Linked DNA regions of Stegostoma tigrinum. The protein of the gene in region 1 interacts with the protein of each later gene in a pairwise test. Links are inferred from orthologs where the notes say so. Each region holds a gene or a part of one and is shown in the gene's direction. Other genes may lie near its edges.

The links. The genes of interacting proteins can lie anywhere in the genome.
Region 2: the proteins of furina (region 1) and marchf2 interact in a protein complementation assay, tested with the Homo sapiens proteins (2 studies listed by BioGRID). The link is inferred for Stegostoma tigrinum from reciprocal best matches to the Homo sapiens genes FURIN and MARCHF2.

Annotation. Positions count from the first base shown.
Region 1 is NC_081389.1:22,674,058-22,681,681, reverse strand, and holds the start of furina (furin (paired basic amino acid cleaving enzyme) a), read left to right. Parts: upstream 1-4,522; 5' UTR 4,523-5,004; coding exon 5,005-5,175; intron 5,176-7,624. UniProt on the Homo sapiens protein: Ubiquitous endoprotease within constitutive secretory pathways capable of cleavage at the RX(K/R)R consensus motif. Mediates processing of TGFB1, an essential step in TGF-beta-1 activation.
Region 2 is NC_081383.1:27,520,240-27,528,186, reverse strand, and holds the start of marchf2 (E3 ubiquitin-protein ligase MARCHF2), read left to right. Parts: upstream 1-4,853; 5' UTR 4,854-5,000; intron 5,001-7,947. Other genes in the region: ras-related protein Rab-11B, read right to left, coding at 4,398-4,437. UniProt on the Homo sapiens protein: E3 ubiquitin-protein ligase that may mediate ubiquitination of TFRC and CD86, and promote their subsequent endocytosis and sorting to lysosomes via multivesicular bodies.

The DNA of each region.
Region 1 (7,624 bases):
ACTCTCACTGGGGTACGGGGTCCCACATACACACTGGCTCTGACTGGGGTACGAGGTCCCACACACACACTGACTCTGACTTGGGTACGGGGTCCCACACACACACTGACTCTCACTGGGGTACGGGGTCCCACACACACACTGACTCTCACTGGGGTATGGGGTCCCACACACACACACTGACTCTCACTGGGGTACGGGGTCCCACACACACACTGACTCTCACTGGGGTACAGGGACCCACACACACACTGACTCTGACTGTGGTATGGGGTCCCACACACACACTGACTCTCACTGGGGTATGGGGTCCCACACACACACTGACTCTCACTGGGGTACGGGGTCCCACACACACACTGACTCTCACTGGGGTATGGGGTCCCACACACACACTGACTCTCACTGGGGTACAGGGTCCCACACACACACACTGACTCTCACTGGGGTACGGGGTCCCACACACACACTGACTCTCACTGGGGTACAGGGTCCCACACACACACACTGACTCTGACTGGGGTACAGGGTCCCATGCACACACTGACCCTCACTGGGGTACGGGGTCCCACACACACTGACTGTGTTTGGGGTTTGGGTCTCACACGCACTTAAGCCTTCGCAGCTTAGGGAAAATGGTGTTTTCACTCTCTACCCAGAGGATTGTGGATGCTTCATCATTGCACATATTCAAGGTTGGGAAAGACAGATATTTGGTGTCTCAGGGAGTCAGTGGACACGGGAGTGAGTAGGAGTGTGGAGTCAAAGCCCAAGATCAGCCACAATTGTTTTGAATGGTGGAGTAGCCTTGAACCGCCAAATGGTCTACTCCTGTTCCTATTTCCTGTGTTCCGGTTTTCATACTGAGCCTTTGATCTGACATTGTTTCCCCCGAGAAAGCTGTGGGGTATGGGGCAATAACCTACAGAGTGACTCCCCCCTGAGAAAGCTGTGGGGTGTGGGGCAATAACCTACACAGTGACTCCCCCCTGAGAAAGCTGTGGGGTGTGGGGCAATAACCTACACAGTGACTCCTCCCTGAGAAAGCTGTGGGGTGTGGGGCAATAACCTACACAGTGACTCCCCCCTGAGAAAGCTGTGGGGTGTGGGGCAATAACCTACACAGTGACTCCCCCCTGAGAAAGCTGTGGGGTGTGGGGCAATAACCGACACAGTGACTCCCCCCTGAGAAAGCTATGGGGTGTGGGGCAATAACCTACACAGTGACAGCAGGAGTTCCTCTCCACCTTTAAGACCTTTCCCAAAACTGATCCCTTTGCCTAAAGTTCTACTCAATCACTTGCATCCCCTTACTTTCTTAATGCAGCGTCGATTGTCCGTTTGCTTTCCAGTGAGGCACTTGGAAGCATTCTAACATGTTATGTACATGAGGTTTCGTGTTGAATGTCATTTAAGGGTTCCGGGTTTATAGATCGTTTTGGCCAATGAGTATGGTGACAACAAAGAGGAACGAACTGACACAAACATTACAAGTATACTGGAATTAAAATAAAACAGACTTTAGAAAGGAAGCTGAAATTCAGATGACATCTTCAAGTGTGCCACAAGACCTTGTCTGTTACTGCTGAACACTGTGAAACCCAGGCATGAACACTGCCGAGGAAGAGAGGCAGTCAGTCCAAATGAACCACTCAATCATCTGCTGCCTTGACTTTTGTGCGGGCATGTTGGTCAGGCTCTGGAACTGTGCCGAGGATTTTTGCCCTCCATATGTTTCTGAAAGATATGATGAAACGCTTCAAGCCTGGCAGTTTTTTTAAAATTCAAATATGTTGGCTTACAATATGATTTATTTTAATGGAAAAGTCTATTGTTTAATTGAGTTTTGTGATAAATCTCATTCCTGTTGTTTCCTCCAGTGCTTTGAAATATCGTAGCTCAAGTAATGATTTTGATCCAGTCCTGGACTCCCATCCACATGCTTCAATGTGTTTCACATGCAGGGACCATTACTCTGCAGGCAAGCTTTAGGATATAACAACTTGCATTCATGTAGCATCTAGTAAAACATTGAGCTCAAGATGCGTCATTTGTGTTTTAACAGATGACCAAATTTATGGAGCAAAAGGTAAATTTTAATGAGTGTCTTAGAGGAAGAAGGAGAGCAAAGAAAATTACAGCACAGGAACAAACAGGCCCTTCAGCCCTCCAAGCCTGCGCCGATCAAGATCCTCTGTCTAAACCTGTCATCTATTCTCAAAGGGTCTGTATCCCTTTGCTCCCTGCTCATCCATGTACCTGTTCAGATACATCTTAAAAGACACTATCGTGTCTGCGTCTACCACCTCCGCTGGCATAGCGTTCCAGGCACCCACCACCCTCTGTGTAAAGAACTTTCCACGCATATCTTCCTTAAACTTTCCTCCTCTCACTTTGAAATCATGACCCCTAGTAACTGAGTCCCCCACTCTGGGAAAAAGCTTCTTGCTATCCACCTTGTCTGTATCCCTAATGATTTTGTAGACCTCAATTAGGTCCCCCCTCAATCTCCATCTTTCTGCAACCTCTCTTCATAGTTAGCGCCCGCCATACCAGGCAACATCCTGGTGAACCTCCTCTGCACCCTCTCCAAAGCATCCACATCCTTTTGGTAATGTGGCGACCAGAACTGTACGCAATACTCCAAATGTGGCCGAACCAAAGTCTTATACAACTGTAACAAGACCTGCCAACTCTTGTACTCAATACAACTGCGACATGACCTGCCAACTCTTGCATTCAATAACTTGAGAGCTGGAAGAGTTTAGGGAGGAAAGTTCAGTGTTTGGAGCCAAGATATTTTAAGTGATAGCTAATGATTAAAATTGGGGCTGTTCCAGAGATCAAAATTGGAGGAACATGGAGATTTTGGGGTGTGGTGGGTTGAAGGAAGTTATGGGTCAATGGAGATGATTTGAACACAGGGATGAAAATTTAAAAATTGAGGTATTGGTAGACCAGGAACCAATGTCAGTCAGTAGGCACTGGGATGCTAGGTAAATTGGTGCAAGTCAGAATACAGGGCAGTTGAACTTTCAGAGAAGTCAAATTGATGTCCAGGTTAGGTGGATTGTCCATACTAAATGATCCATAATGTCCAAGGATGTGCCAGCTAGGTGGATTAGCCTTGAGAAATACGTGGTAGAGGGATGGGTGGGTGTGGGTAGTATGCTTTTCAGGGGTTGGTGTGGATCCAATGGGACAAATGGCCTGCTTCCCCACTGTAGGGATTCTAAAATCAAATGACAGTCACAGTCTTTCAAAACCTTATTTCTGTGTGATACATGGCAGATCTGTGGAGGCGCTGGGTGGACAAAGTCAGAAGTTACGTGGCGCCAGATTATAGTCGAACATGTTTATTCAAGCTCCACCTGAATCCTACACTTTTGTTTCTTTAGCCTTTGGATCAGCCATGATCTTATATTCTCTCATCATGGTAAGCATGATGTGGAGATGCCGGTGTTGGCCAGGGTTGTATAAAGTCAGAAGTCACATGACACCAGGTTATAGCCCGAAAGGTTTATTTGAAATCACAAACTTTTGGAACGTAGCCCCTCTGTCAGGCAAAGTGAGTGAGAAGCACACAGAGCACAGAATTTATGACGTGGAGTTGCTGGTGTTGGACTAGGGCAGGCAAGGTCAGAAATTACATGACACCAGGTCGTAGTCCAACAGTGTCATTTGAAAACACTAGCTTTCAGAGCCTCACCTGAAGAAGGAGTGAGGCTCCAAAACCTTGTGTTTTCAAACACACCTGTTGGACTACAACCTGATGTTGTGTGATTTCTGTGATAGAGGGAACTGCAGATGCTGGAGAATCCAAGATAATAAAATGTGAGGCTGGATGAACACAGCAGGCCAAGCAGCATCTCAGGAGCACAAAAGCTTGTGTGACTTCTGACAGAATTTATGGGCAGAGATCAAAAGACCAGACAAATGGTGAGGGTGGAGTGCTAAATAATAAGTCCCGGCAGGTGATTCGAAGTGTTCTCAGTGTGAGTAACCATTAACAACTGCTTAGCAAGTCAAGGGATGAGCTATAATCCGATTAACTGAGGCAGAGATGTTATTACAAATACAAAATAAGGCGGTGCTAGAGACTGCCCAAATGACTGGAAATAACATGATAGCTATGAGAGGTCTAGCCAAAGTCGGTTCTATGCTCCATGTAAGTAATGCAAAACCGTTCAACAATTTATCCCGGAAGTGCTAAGAAACAGTGAGGGAATGTTGGCCGGGCTGTTGACGTCACGGCGATGGGACGGCGTGGTTGACGTCATGAAGGAAAAGGAGGCGGTGGGAGGGCCACGTGGTGTAAGAGCGCGCCTGCGCACAAAGGGGAACGGTTGTCTCCGCCTGCCGGGTGGGCGGGGAAAGAGGCGGTCCCTAACGCGCGCCGGTCCGCATTCCCGTCGCGCGTGGGGATTGGCTGGCCGAGCCGGGGCAGGCGCGTGCTTTCTGCACCCACCCCGCCCCCCCCCCCCCCCCCCATCAAAGAAATCTGTGCGTGTGCGCGTGCGCGCGCGCAGTCTCCTGAGGGGACAGGGTTTGTTCGCTCGGAGCTGAGGGAGGGCGGGCCGGTGTCCGTTTGGTGTCCGAGTGCCAGCTCCTGTCACACAACACCCGCTCATCTCGCATCATGGGCACCCGGCACCGCCGCTGAGGGCCTGGTCCCGGACACTGGCCCACCGTTTGTTGATCTTTATTTCCTCTCACACATCCCTGTCCCCCGATTGACCGGTCCGTCAGGAAGGGACGGAGTGACCGACCATTCGGACTTGGCCCCCGCCCACCCCCCCCCGTCACGGTCCGGCCTCCCCTTCCCTTCAGGGACTGTGAGTGAGGGACGGGAAGAGGGAGCTGTGCAAACAACCCCCGGGTAGAGACCAATCGCCGGGGGGGGGGTCCCTGAGTAGGTGGAGGCGGCGGCGGCGGCACTGGCTGGAGTTTGAGATCCAGCCCCCCCACCTCCGCTGGACCGTGAATCCGTAGCGGGCCGTGGGGATGGAGTGGGGGCTGAAGGCCGTCCTCTCGTCCTGCACCCTCGTCGCTCTGTGTGCCTCTTTCACCGCCCCGCCGAAAGTTTATAGCAACACCTGGGCGGTGCGGATCCCCGGCGGGCAGCAGGAGGCCGCCAGGGTGGCCAGGGAACACGGCTTCATCAACCTGGGGCAGGTGAGCAAACTGCATCTCCATACCGTCTCCACTACATTCCAAAGCGGACCTCCTTTTGTTTATAAATAACGAGCGGATGAGTTAACTCTCAGTAACTTCTTTTTTTCCATCCTGTCCTCTGTTTATTGTTTCTGGCAAGATCCCTGGCAGTTTTATTTCAAAACTCAGGACATTTGTGACTTCTAAAGCAATAATCCTTTGTCATTTTGTGGTGATGATTTTGAGATGATTCATGTTTAATCAGTAGGATGTTGCATGAGTTGCTGTTCACGGAAAGTGGATCACTTTTGTTTCGACACAACTTTTGGTTGCATAGCAAACTCCGAAATTTCTGCTCTTCGATCAGAGTTTGTTATTGTTCGCGTTGTTTACCTGTACTTTTGAATATACTCCTTTAAACTCTGCCACAACTTTTAAAAGGGATTCAATTAGACACTTCTGAAAATTTAACAAACTTTTAAAAAAACATGTCGGCTAGGGGCAAAGGTGATTCGTTTTCAGAAATCTGGCCGGAATGGTGGGCAGATTGATAATTTTTATAGCCTAGAGGAGACCGCTGATTTTGTTTCAAGTAGTCACTTGTCCTGCATTTTGCATTGTAATAACTTTTTGAATTTTTCTTATTCTCCCAATTTGTTTTTCCGATGACATTATTTGGTTTAAAAAAATCGTGCCTGAGTATCAGTTCTCTGTCTCTCATCTACAATGCCATGCCAGGATAAAGGCACTATGAACAAGAGATTTATGCAGTCTAAAAGCTTTATGATTGAATAATTGGTCTTTAATTTCTATTTTGCATAAAAATGTTCTTGCTGTTATTTCTTTGGTGTAACTCCATTATGGTGCCAAAACCAGAGATTGTTCCCACTGCCTGTGCGCTTTTGTCCAACACACTTCATCTCCAGATTTCTATGATTACTGTTAGGAGAAATGAAAACCCCTCTCACTAAATTAAAATCCATGTTTATTATTTGTATACTTAAGTTATAATGCTGTTAGAACTACTGAACACAATTCAGTAGGGCTCGACAAGTGGCAAATAGTGGAGATTCAATCTTTTACTCAAAAGTCTCCTGTTTTGAATAGGTTTTATCGGTTGCTTACTTGCGTCACTCCCCACCTATTGATTAGAGTAGTAGTATTTGTGTTGTTTCAAAATGTGATTTTGATTCTCTGGCTAATGTATTTTGTCATCAAATCTGTGCAAACAGCACTTAGACTTTTCTATATGTTGCCACTTGTATTACAAGACAGGAACAAGTGTGGAGAAAACGAGGATTCTTGGATCTCAATAGGATCATGTTGAGATCACAGGACAAGAAGCTTCACGTCACTGTGAATTTCAGATTTGTAGATATCAACCATTATTCATTATGTTGCAGTTAGATTTGCATTTTGTCTTTGTTTGTGAGTTCTCTCTCAAACAAAGTGATGGAAGAACTTTTAATAATTCAAGGTTTAATAATTATATATTTTAACATGTATATGATCTGTATCCTATTGCAAAGTATGCACAGTTTTTAGGATTTGCTTAAGTAAAAGGAATGATTTGCACTGTCTAAAAGTGCACTCACTGGCTGCCTCTACCAGTTGTATGAAGTTTTATTCCCGTTCAAAAAATTGTAACAGACCACAATTTTCTTAAACTTATTGATACATGGAAACTAGGAAGTAGATTCTTTTCATATCCCAGATGGGAATAACAGTATTCCAATGTACTAAGTTAGATCCCTCAAATTTAATACTTCTGTAAATGCCCAGACTTGAAGTGAGCTAGCTGGCTGTCTACGCATGATATACTAGCCTGGTTTATTTGTGCTGCGATGTTCTTGTCTCTAAATCCTGTTCATAACTGTGTCCAGTTGCTTAAAGAGGCTCAACATAGTATTCCTGCTATTTCTTTGTGTGCTTATTCACAATCCCACCGAAGACTTGGTGATGAGGGGCCGGGCTGGAATTTAGGATTCACAGATGAACAATGTGATTAAAACAACTTGAGCTTCAGTGTGTGTGTGTGTGTGTGTGTGTGTGTGTGTGTGAGAGAAATAGCAGTGGCTCGTGTCTCTATAATTTGGAAAGCAGTGAATATGATCATATAATGTCAGTAAAGCAAATGGGAGGTTCAAATGACAAGCTAAACTACATGTGTGTTAATCAATCTCGTGAGGAATCTGGTGAAGTGTTATTTATGGTGACTTGTAGTCTGTCTGTGCCTGCTTAGCTGGTTTCGGAGAGTGTGTGTGAGAGCAGGAAGCACAATGGGAATGCAAAGGTTCTGGAAGTGTCTCTAATGACTTTGGATTCTTTGTATCACAGGTTGTAATTAGCAGCAGAAGGTCAGCATCAAATTACACTGACATTTTCGTTTGATAACCAAGCTACTTGAGTGAAATAGAATTTTGATTTCAGTTAGAACTGCTCCTACAATAATTTTGTGCAGTGTATGAAA
Region 2 (7,947 bases), on another chromosome or scaffold:
CAACCCCAAAAAAGTTAACTCAATGTTTACAAAACTTTTATGACATACACAAAAACAGTAGACCAAGGGCCATGAGTAAGTTGAGGTCACAAGATAAATCACTTTAGCAGAAGGGTAGGTTTTTTTTAAATTGTAGAAATTTCTAGGTGGTTAGAATTGGAAGCAAGTACCTGGCCAGAGCTTCATAAACATTTTCAGCTGCCTCAACAATCCAGAACAAAGCTTGGGAAGAGCTCGTGGAGTTATAAATTTGAGAGTTAAGCAGTGGTGCTACTTCAGTGGAACCAAGTGACTGAAGGATATAGGTGGAGTGAGGGTGGTTTTTGTGTGCTGTTTTATGTTAAGATCTTTCTAAATGAACTTTGACCTTTTTCTTAAGATAAAGAACTTAGTTTTAGAAGGATATTGATAGCCTCATATGAATATGTTCAGTGACTGAACACTACAGTAACCAAACTACAAGAGGAAAAACTTACAATCAAGCCACGTTTCACCAAAATTTGACTTGTCTAATATTACCAGCTGAGATCATGAAGTACAAATGTTCGTACAATTATTTGTAGGTGATCAAATTTTGCATTCTACAGTGCCACATCCTCACTGAAAACAGATAGCCTTCATGAATGTCACTCGCTACACCCTTATGCCTTTTGGAAGACTTTAACGGTGCAGTGAAACTTCATTCAGTACTTCTACTCCAAACAGCACTGATCACCAAAGTGCCATTGATGTTTTTCGCACCAAAAGGAAGTGAAATTGGATAATACAAGTATAGAGTGAATTATATATTTGCTTCCCCTCAATAATCTATTCCTTACTGCCTAATCCATGTTCATTCTCAGGCCACACTGTCTTGATGCCCAGGAACACTGACAAGTGACCCAACCATTATAAGTGATAGATTGGTAAACAGAAGACAAAAAACTGATGTAGTAAAATCCTTATATACAAGGTTCAGGCATGTTTCAATTGTTTCTTACACACGATTGAGCAGACATGACATGCAAAAGTGCAGGTGAATCTTTGTTTGGGAATATTAGTTTAAGTTTCAATGTGAAGAAACCTTTGCCTATCTATGCAAATATTTAATTTAACATTTGTATTTGGAGCTAGAATAGACAATGGACAATAGCTTAATGGACAAGTGATCTTCCACTTTAAATTTTAACCCTTCTTTGAAGGAGCAATTATGACCAAAATATCAAAAAAACTGAAGAAATATGATTCTTCCATTGAATGGCAGATAAATCCACCCTTTTTCAAACGGATATGATTGAGCAATTATGTTTTTAAGCTGGAATATAAAACAACCATCTTGATTCAACTAGCAGATCTTCTTAATCCTCAATTTGACGTCTCAAACTACATAAAAATGAAATAATCCCAAAGTAAATTTGTCAGAACAGAGAAGCAACATAAATGCATTACAATCCAGAGCCACAGTTTTGAATCATCTTTTACAGATATAGCTGGTAACATAGAAGGGCTCAATAAATAGGTTAGCTGCTATCCGGATAAAATAAAATGCCGAACACGCAAGATTCCATTCAACAACCCTACAAAACTGAGTAATGAATCCACATCTGACAGCACCTGTGCAGTGAAGCAAGAGTTAACATTTTGGGTCGACTGAGGGAAGGTCACTCGACCCAAAACGTTAACTGATTTCTCTTCACAGACGTTGTCAGTCTTGTTAACCTCTTCCAGCCAATTCTGTTTTTGTTTCTGATTTACAGCATCTGCAGTTCTTTCAACTTTATTTAACAAAGAATGCATGTCGTGCCCTTAACTTCCCTGTACAGAAACATAAAGAATATTTGAGGTTGGTAATGCAAATTGAAGCAGAGGAATGAAATTAAAAGCATGTGTAAAGTTATACACTGCCTGCACACAATTATTCAACAGTCAAATACCCAGTCACAATCCTAATGTATGGCAGAGCAGGCTTGAGCAATACAGCCTAGCCCATTCTTATTTCTTATAGCTTTACTAGTTTTCAAACTTCAATTTACTAGTTGAGACTGGGTTTAGTTAACATGATATGTAAATCAAAAAGCAATTGACAAATGGATGTGTGAGTTTGCTCGCTGAGCTGGAAGGTTCGTTTTCAGATGTTTCATCACCATTCTAGGTAACATCAGTGAGCCTCCGAAGCGTTGGTGTTATGTCCCGCTTTCTATTTATCTGGTTAGGTTTCCTTGGGTTGGTGATGTCATTTCCTGTTCTTTTTCTCAGGGGATGGTAGATTGATTTGGAGTCAAATCAATGTGTTTGTTGATGGAGTTCCAGTTGGAATGCCATGCTTCTAGGAATTCTCGTGCATGTCTCTGTTTGGTTAGTCCTAGGTTGGATGCAAGCCAAACAGAGACATGCACGAGAATTCCTAGAAGCATGGCATTCCAACTGGAACTCCACCAACAAACACATTGATTTGACTCCAAATCAATCTACCATCCCCTGAGAAAGAGAACAGGAAATGACATCACCAACCCAAGGAAACCTAACCAGATAAATAGAAAGCGGGACATAACACCAGCGCTTCGTCGGAGGCTCACTGATGATGTTACCTAGAATGGTGACTGAAAACTAACCTTCCAGCTCAGCGAGCAAACTCACATCCAGAACCTCAACCTGAGCTACAAATCTTCTCAAAACTCACTAGCAATTGACAAATATTTAGAGTCAGAATCAGTGGTCCTACAACACAGAAAAAGGCCCTTTGGCCCATCAAGTCTTTGCCAATCAAATACAACCACCTAACTAGCCTAATTCAATTCTACAGCAGTTGGCCTTATGCGCCTTGGCACCAATGACATTCATCTAAATAATTAATGTTACAAGGGGTTTGTGTCTCTACCACCCTTACAGGGTGAGTTCTAGATTCCTACCACTCTACATGGTAAGATTTTTCTTACAACTGTTCTAAATTTTGCTTCTTACCTCAAATTTATATCTTTCTTCATTTATCCCTCAAAAGGAGAGTACTTCCATGTCCATCCCATTTATCTATACATCACAATCATGTTCTTTGTTAGTGTCCAAGGAAAACAACCCCACGTCTAACTTCCCCAGCCCAGACAACATCCTAGCATATTTCTGCACCTTATCCAGTGCAATCACATCCCCCCTACAAAATGGAATGCAGACTTGTACACTTTATCTGTGACCTAACCAACTTTTTTAAAAAGTTGGTCTTCAAACTCAAATTTACAACAGCTTTGAAGCTGAAAGGCACTTCATGAAAGCATATTCAGACAAAAGTTTAGATCAAAACACTGAAGGGACTATCCAAATATGGGTAAATTTCCACCCAAACCCCACAACATGCAGGCAGGTAGATAACATGCCTGTGACCTTGTAAGTTGTGATTAAAAAAAAGTACTCACTTTACATGTTAAATATCAATATTAGATGAAAAAAAGTTTAATCCCTTACTACCTATTTTTCAACTTTCACCATTTCTTTCCCACTAAAGGACAGAATAACAGGCACTTGTAGATCAAGAGTCTCATTTTTGAGGCAGCGTGGGAAAGAGAAAGTTGAAATGAGGGTGAAAACCAGCAATAAACCAGAAGATCAGCAACATGGAAGACAACTGATGTCACAGGTATATTTGGTGCACTGCTAACAATAAAAAATACAACTTTAAGCCAATAAGCCTTATTGTGGTCATACAATTCACTTTATACCCAGCATCTTAAATCAGTCAACAGTGATGCATACCACCAGCGGTAAAATATTCCCTTCAAGCCTAAGACGCTGAGAAACAAAAACATTGGTACTAATGTTTTTCGCAATTTACGCACTTTGGGGCAGTCAACTGAAATTTTCGTGTAAATAAATAAGATGATTGCAGTGGCGGAAAAAAAGTGCTTTTGATCTTTACGTATAAAATACAAAGGAAAGCTCATATGCGTTTTGCAAAGTGCATGAAGCTATTTCCAGTAAACACAAAGAAAATTAACAATGCCTGTAACTAAAAATAATAGATTCTAGTTAGCAGAAGTAAAAATTAAGTGCAGAAAGACGACAAAAAGTTTCACTGTGCAGCTAAATGGACAGGCAGTATTAGCTAGATTAAACCTACAGATCATGTAAGGGTAATAGATGGGGATTAATGTTATTGCAGACGATAGCTTTTTTTGGGTGGCTTCTTTCTCGATTCCAGCTCCTGCCATTACTACCTATGAAGCTCCTCCAGACTTTCTGGTATCAAGTTGACTAAACATCGATAAGAAAGAGAAAAAGAAACTTATCGGGCCACAGCGGAGAAGTTTTTGTCCCTGCCCTCCTTAACCAGGTTAAAGGCGTAAAGCCTAAGGCCTACATCTTATCACAATTATATGCGAAACAAGACAAATGTATTTCAACCCCAAAACAGATGGTCATTGCCTTACCTTTAAAGAGATAATCATACTCATCATCTCTAGTTCCCATTTTACCCTCAATATAACCGGTTTCTGCCGGAGCGCAACCTGCAACGACCGCAAAGATATCCTTCCTTTTTTTCGGCACAGGCACAAGCCCTGCCCCTACACGATAACCGGAAACTACAACTAACCCGCCCACCGCCTCACCCACTAATTGACAGCTCAGTGGCCAATAATAAAGCGGCGTGGGTACCACAGACCATAGAGATTCCATCACTATGGCAATAAATCCCGCCCCCACCCTGCACTGCCTGACTGGGTGAAGTCATCCAGCCGGGGACCTTAGCCCCGCCTTTTGCAGGATCCTCTTAACCGACTGTTTACAAAAGCTGTCAATTATAACAGTTTTCCCCAGCTGATTGGGTAATCTGCCTGTCATTCACATCTAGTCAAGAACACGCTCCTCTTCCGGCGCGGATCTTTTTCTCTCTTTTTAAGGACTAGGATTGTACACTGGGAGCGGTGATGTTGGCAGAAGAGATGGGCCCAATGAACTATTGAACCGAGCCTGGGGTCGTCGAGACAGCCGTTCCGAAAGTGATCACCCTGAGGTAATGCAAGAGGAATCAAGTCAGTGATTTTTTTAAAAAAATATTTTTAACATTGAACGTGCAGCGATTCTCCTCGTCCAACAAGGTGTTGTGCGTCACAGTCCGAGGATTGGGAGTCTCTTGGTTTTTTTCGTTGGTTAAAATGTCTCCTCAAGTGATGGTTTAAACAGGCTCCTGAGTGAACTGTCACTCGTTCTGCAGCTATGTGGAGTGCAAACATCAGTCAGACATCACAGCAAAGGACCCCCTTTGGCTCTGCTGTCACAACACGGAGGAAATGGAGCACATCGTGCAGTTCTTTGCATAACCCTCATAAAACTCCCAGATAAATTTAGCATGAACGCTTCAATGGCTTATTGTTGTTTTCACAATAGTGTGCATGTGTCTGGAATAATGTACCAGGTGAGTTGTCAAATGGCTCAGTCAGGTTTGGTCAGCGGTTAAGCTTGTTGGTAGTGGAGACCATATGGTACTGACGTGCTCCACGGTGGATAAGTGAACCTAGTGTTTCACTTAAAATAAACTGCCACTAATGAGCTAGGACATCACTGCAACAAAATGTTGATGACTACTATTTCTCAGCAATGCTTCTGAGCTTAAATCTTCTTCAGTCTCTTGCTTTGTTCTGTTGAATCATCATGACTTGGACGAATAGAGAATAGGAAACAATTGAGTGTTTCAACATTATCTCTGAGAGAGAGTTTCCAGATCAATTTATCTTGTGGAACTATAAATTATACTTTTAATTCTATGGAGTTGACAAAACCAGAAAATTTGTAACCTTGTATTGAATTTGAGTGTGAGATGAACTTCTGACCACTCATAGGGCTATCACGAAAGCTACCTATTTCTTGCTCAAAAGTATCACTGGACTTCATCTCTGCCATGCTCACCTGCTGGTGAAACCTTACCCATACCTTCATTACTATTGAGTATTTCATGTACTCCTGTCCAGATGCCTACATTGAAGCTGAAGGTGGGCTGTTACCTTTGATCTTATTCAAACTGTACTATCATCATTTATGTGCTTGCTCACCTTTGCTGACTTCTGACTAATTAATATCCTGACTTATAATAATTAGTTTCCTTATGATTTCATCCATTCCCATCTTTGTAATCTCTTCCAGCGGCATAGTGATCCTATATACTGGTGTTTCTGCAGTTCCTGTGTTTTGAGCTTCCTTAAATTGATTGCATCATGAAAGTTGGCTGTGTCTTCTCTAGCCAATTCCTAACTTCTGAAATTGCTTTCAGAAAACTCTCTAGCCTGCTACCACCTTTCTCCTTTTAAAATGTCCTTTGAATATCTTTGACCAAGTTTTAGCTAATCACGTTTAATATCACCTTACGTGGTTTTGTGTCACATCTTGATTTCTAACTAATTTCTTGGTAAATATGCGAGATCAATATAAATTATTTTTATTAAGCTGCCCCTCTTTAGTGATTATTTATGTTGCATTATCATTGACATGCTTAATTCATTTAACTTGAGGCTATTTGGCTTATTTTCTACCCAATATGCAAAGGAAAAATTAATTTATCAACAACTGAAAAAGAAACATACATTATACTGAATTCTTCTGTAATATATTGCTATATTTTCTCAATACTGACAACTACCATGTGGCCATTTAATAAGGAAAGTGTTTCTTTTTCTTTTCAGTGATAGGTTCATATTGGTAGTTTTTACGTATAAATTTTGTTTAAATAAATAATTTGGTGTAGATAGATAAATAAGTTGTTGTGGAGGACTGTGCAATTTACTGAAAGCTCTTAGATACTTAAATGATTATAGGACTTGAATCATGGACATAGCTGCTCTGCATTTTCTTACATCCACTGGGATTTTTAAAAAACATTCTAATGTGTAATGAAAGCCTCTGATCTTGACATCATCAGCTTAATGTAAATATTTTGAAAGCTGTGTTGTGTTGCCATAAATCTAGGTTTACAAATTGTCTTTATAGGATCAAAATCTACTTTACCTTACATATCAACAAATAATTTTTAGCTGTTTTCTCAAGAGAAATTAAGCATTAGATATTGGAGAAACTATCTCTGCCAGAGGTGATTTGTAACCCAAAAGACAGAGAGTTAAGGTGAAGAATGCACATTATGGTATGGAATACATTGTTTGAAAGCATGGTGAAATTAAATTGAAATGTTCAAATAAGCTTTGAAGGTTACATTTACTGAGAAGTGAAACCAATTGGATAACTGTGATGTGAGAAAATACGTGCTATGCATCTTTTGCCAAATCTAAAATCTGTTGTTTAGTTTTCTTTGAAATTTTAGCAAAATATTCATTTTATAAGCTGAAGAGCAGAAACAGTGTTTAACACACTTTACATGTGAATAACCTTTTAGGTACAAACATATCTGTAAGATTGATGAATACTACATGTGAATAACTGTTTGGCTCACAGGAACATTTCTGGTTGCCAAGTAATTGCTGTTTAATGGAAAAATAGAGCAGACAAATATGCTCATGTGTGGAGAATACTGGCCCAGGTTCCAGATGCAAAACTTATGTGTGGAGTATGGAAATTATTTAATAGCCAGAACGCACTATCTGGAGAATACACAATCGAAGCGGTAGATAACAAATCTGCCTTGAATGAGTGAGAAAGAATTGTAACTTGCTGTAAATCCCAAATCAGTTTGTCTCTAATTTCTCTTTGTCTCTTTATTATGTTTTTATTCATAATGTGTTTTTCTCAAGTTAACTTTTTAATTGAGATTGTTTGTTCCCTTTGAAATTTTTTGCCTTTGGTCAGATATGACTTGCATGAGAAGTATTATCTCTGTAATCGCTGTTACCAATAGACAACAAATGTATTAAAATGGGCTTTCTGCTACAAAAGTTTAATTTTATGTAGCCCTGTTCTGAAGTGAACCATGAAACCAATGTTATACCTTGACTAAATCTATACAAATAAATTGTGTTGCCAAATTTTGTTGGCTTC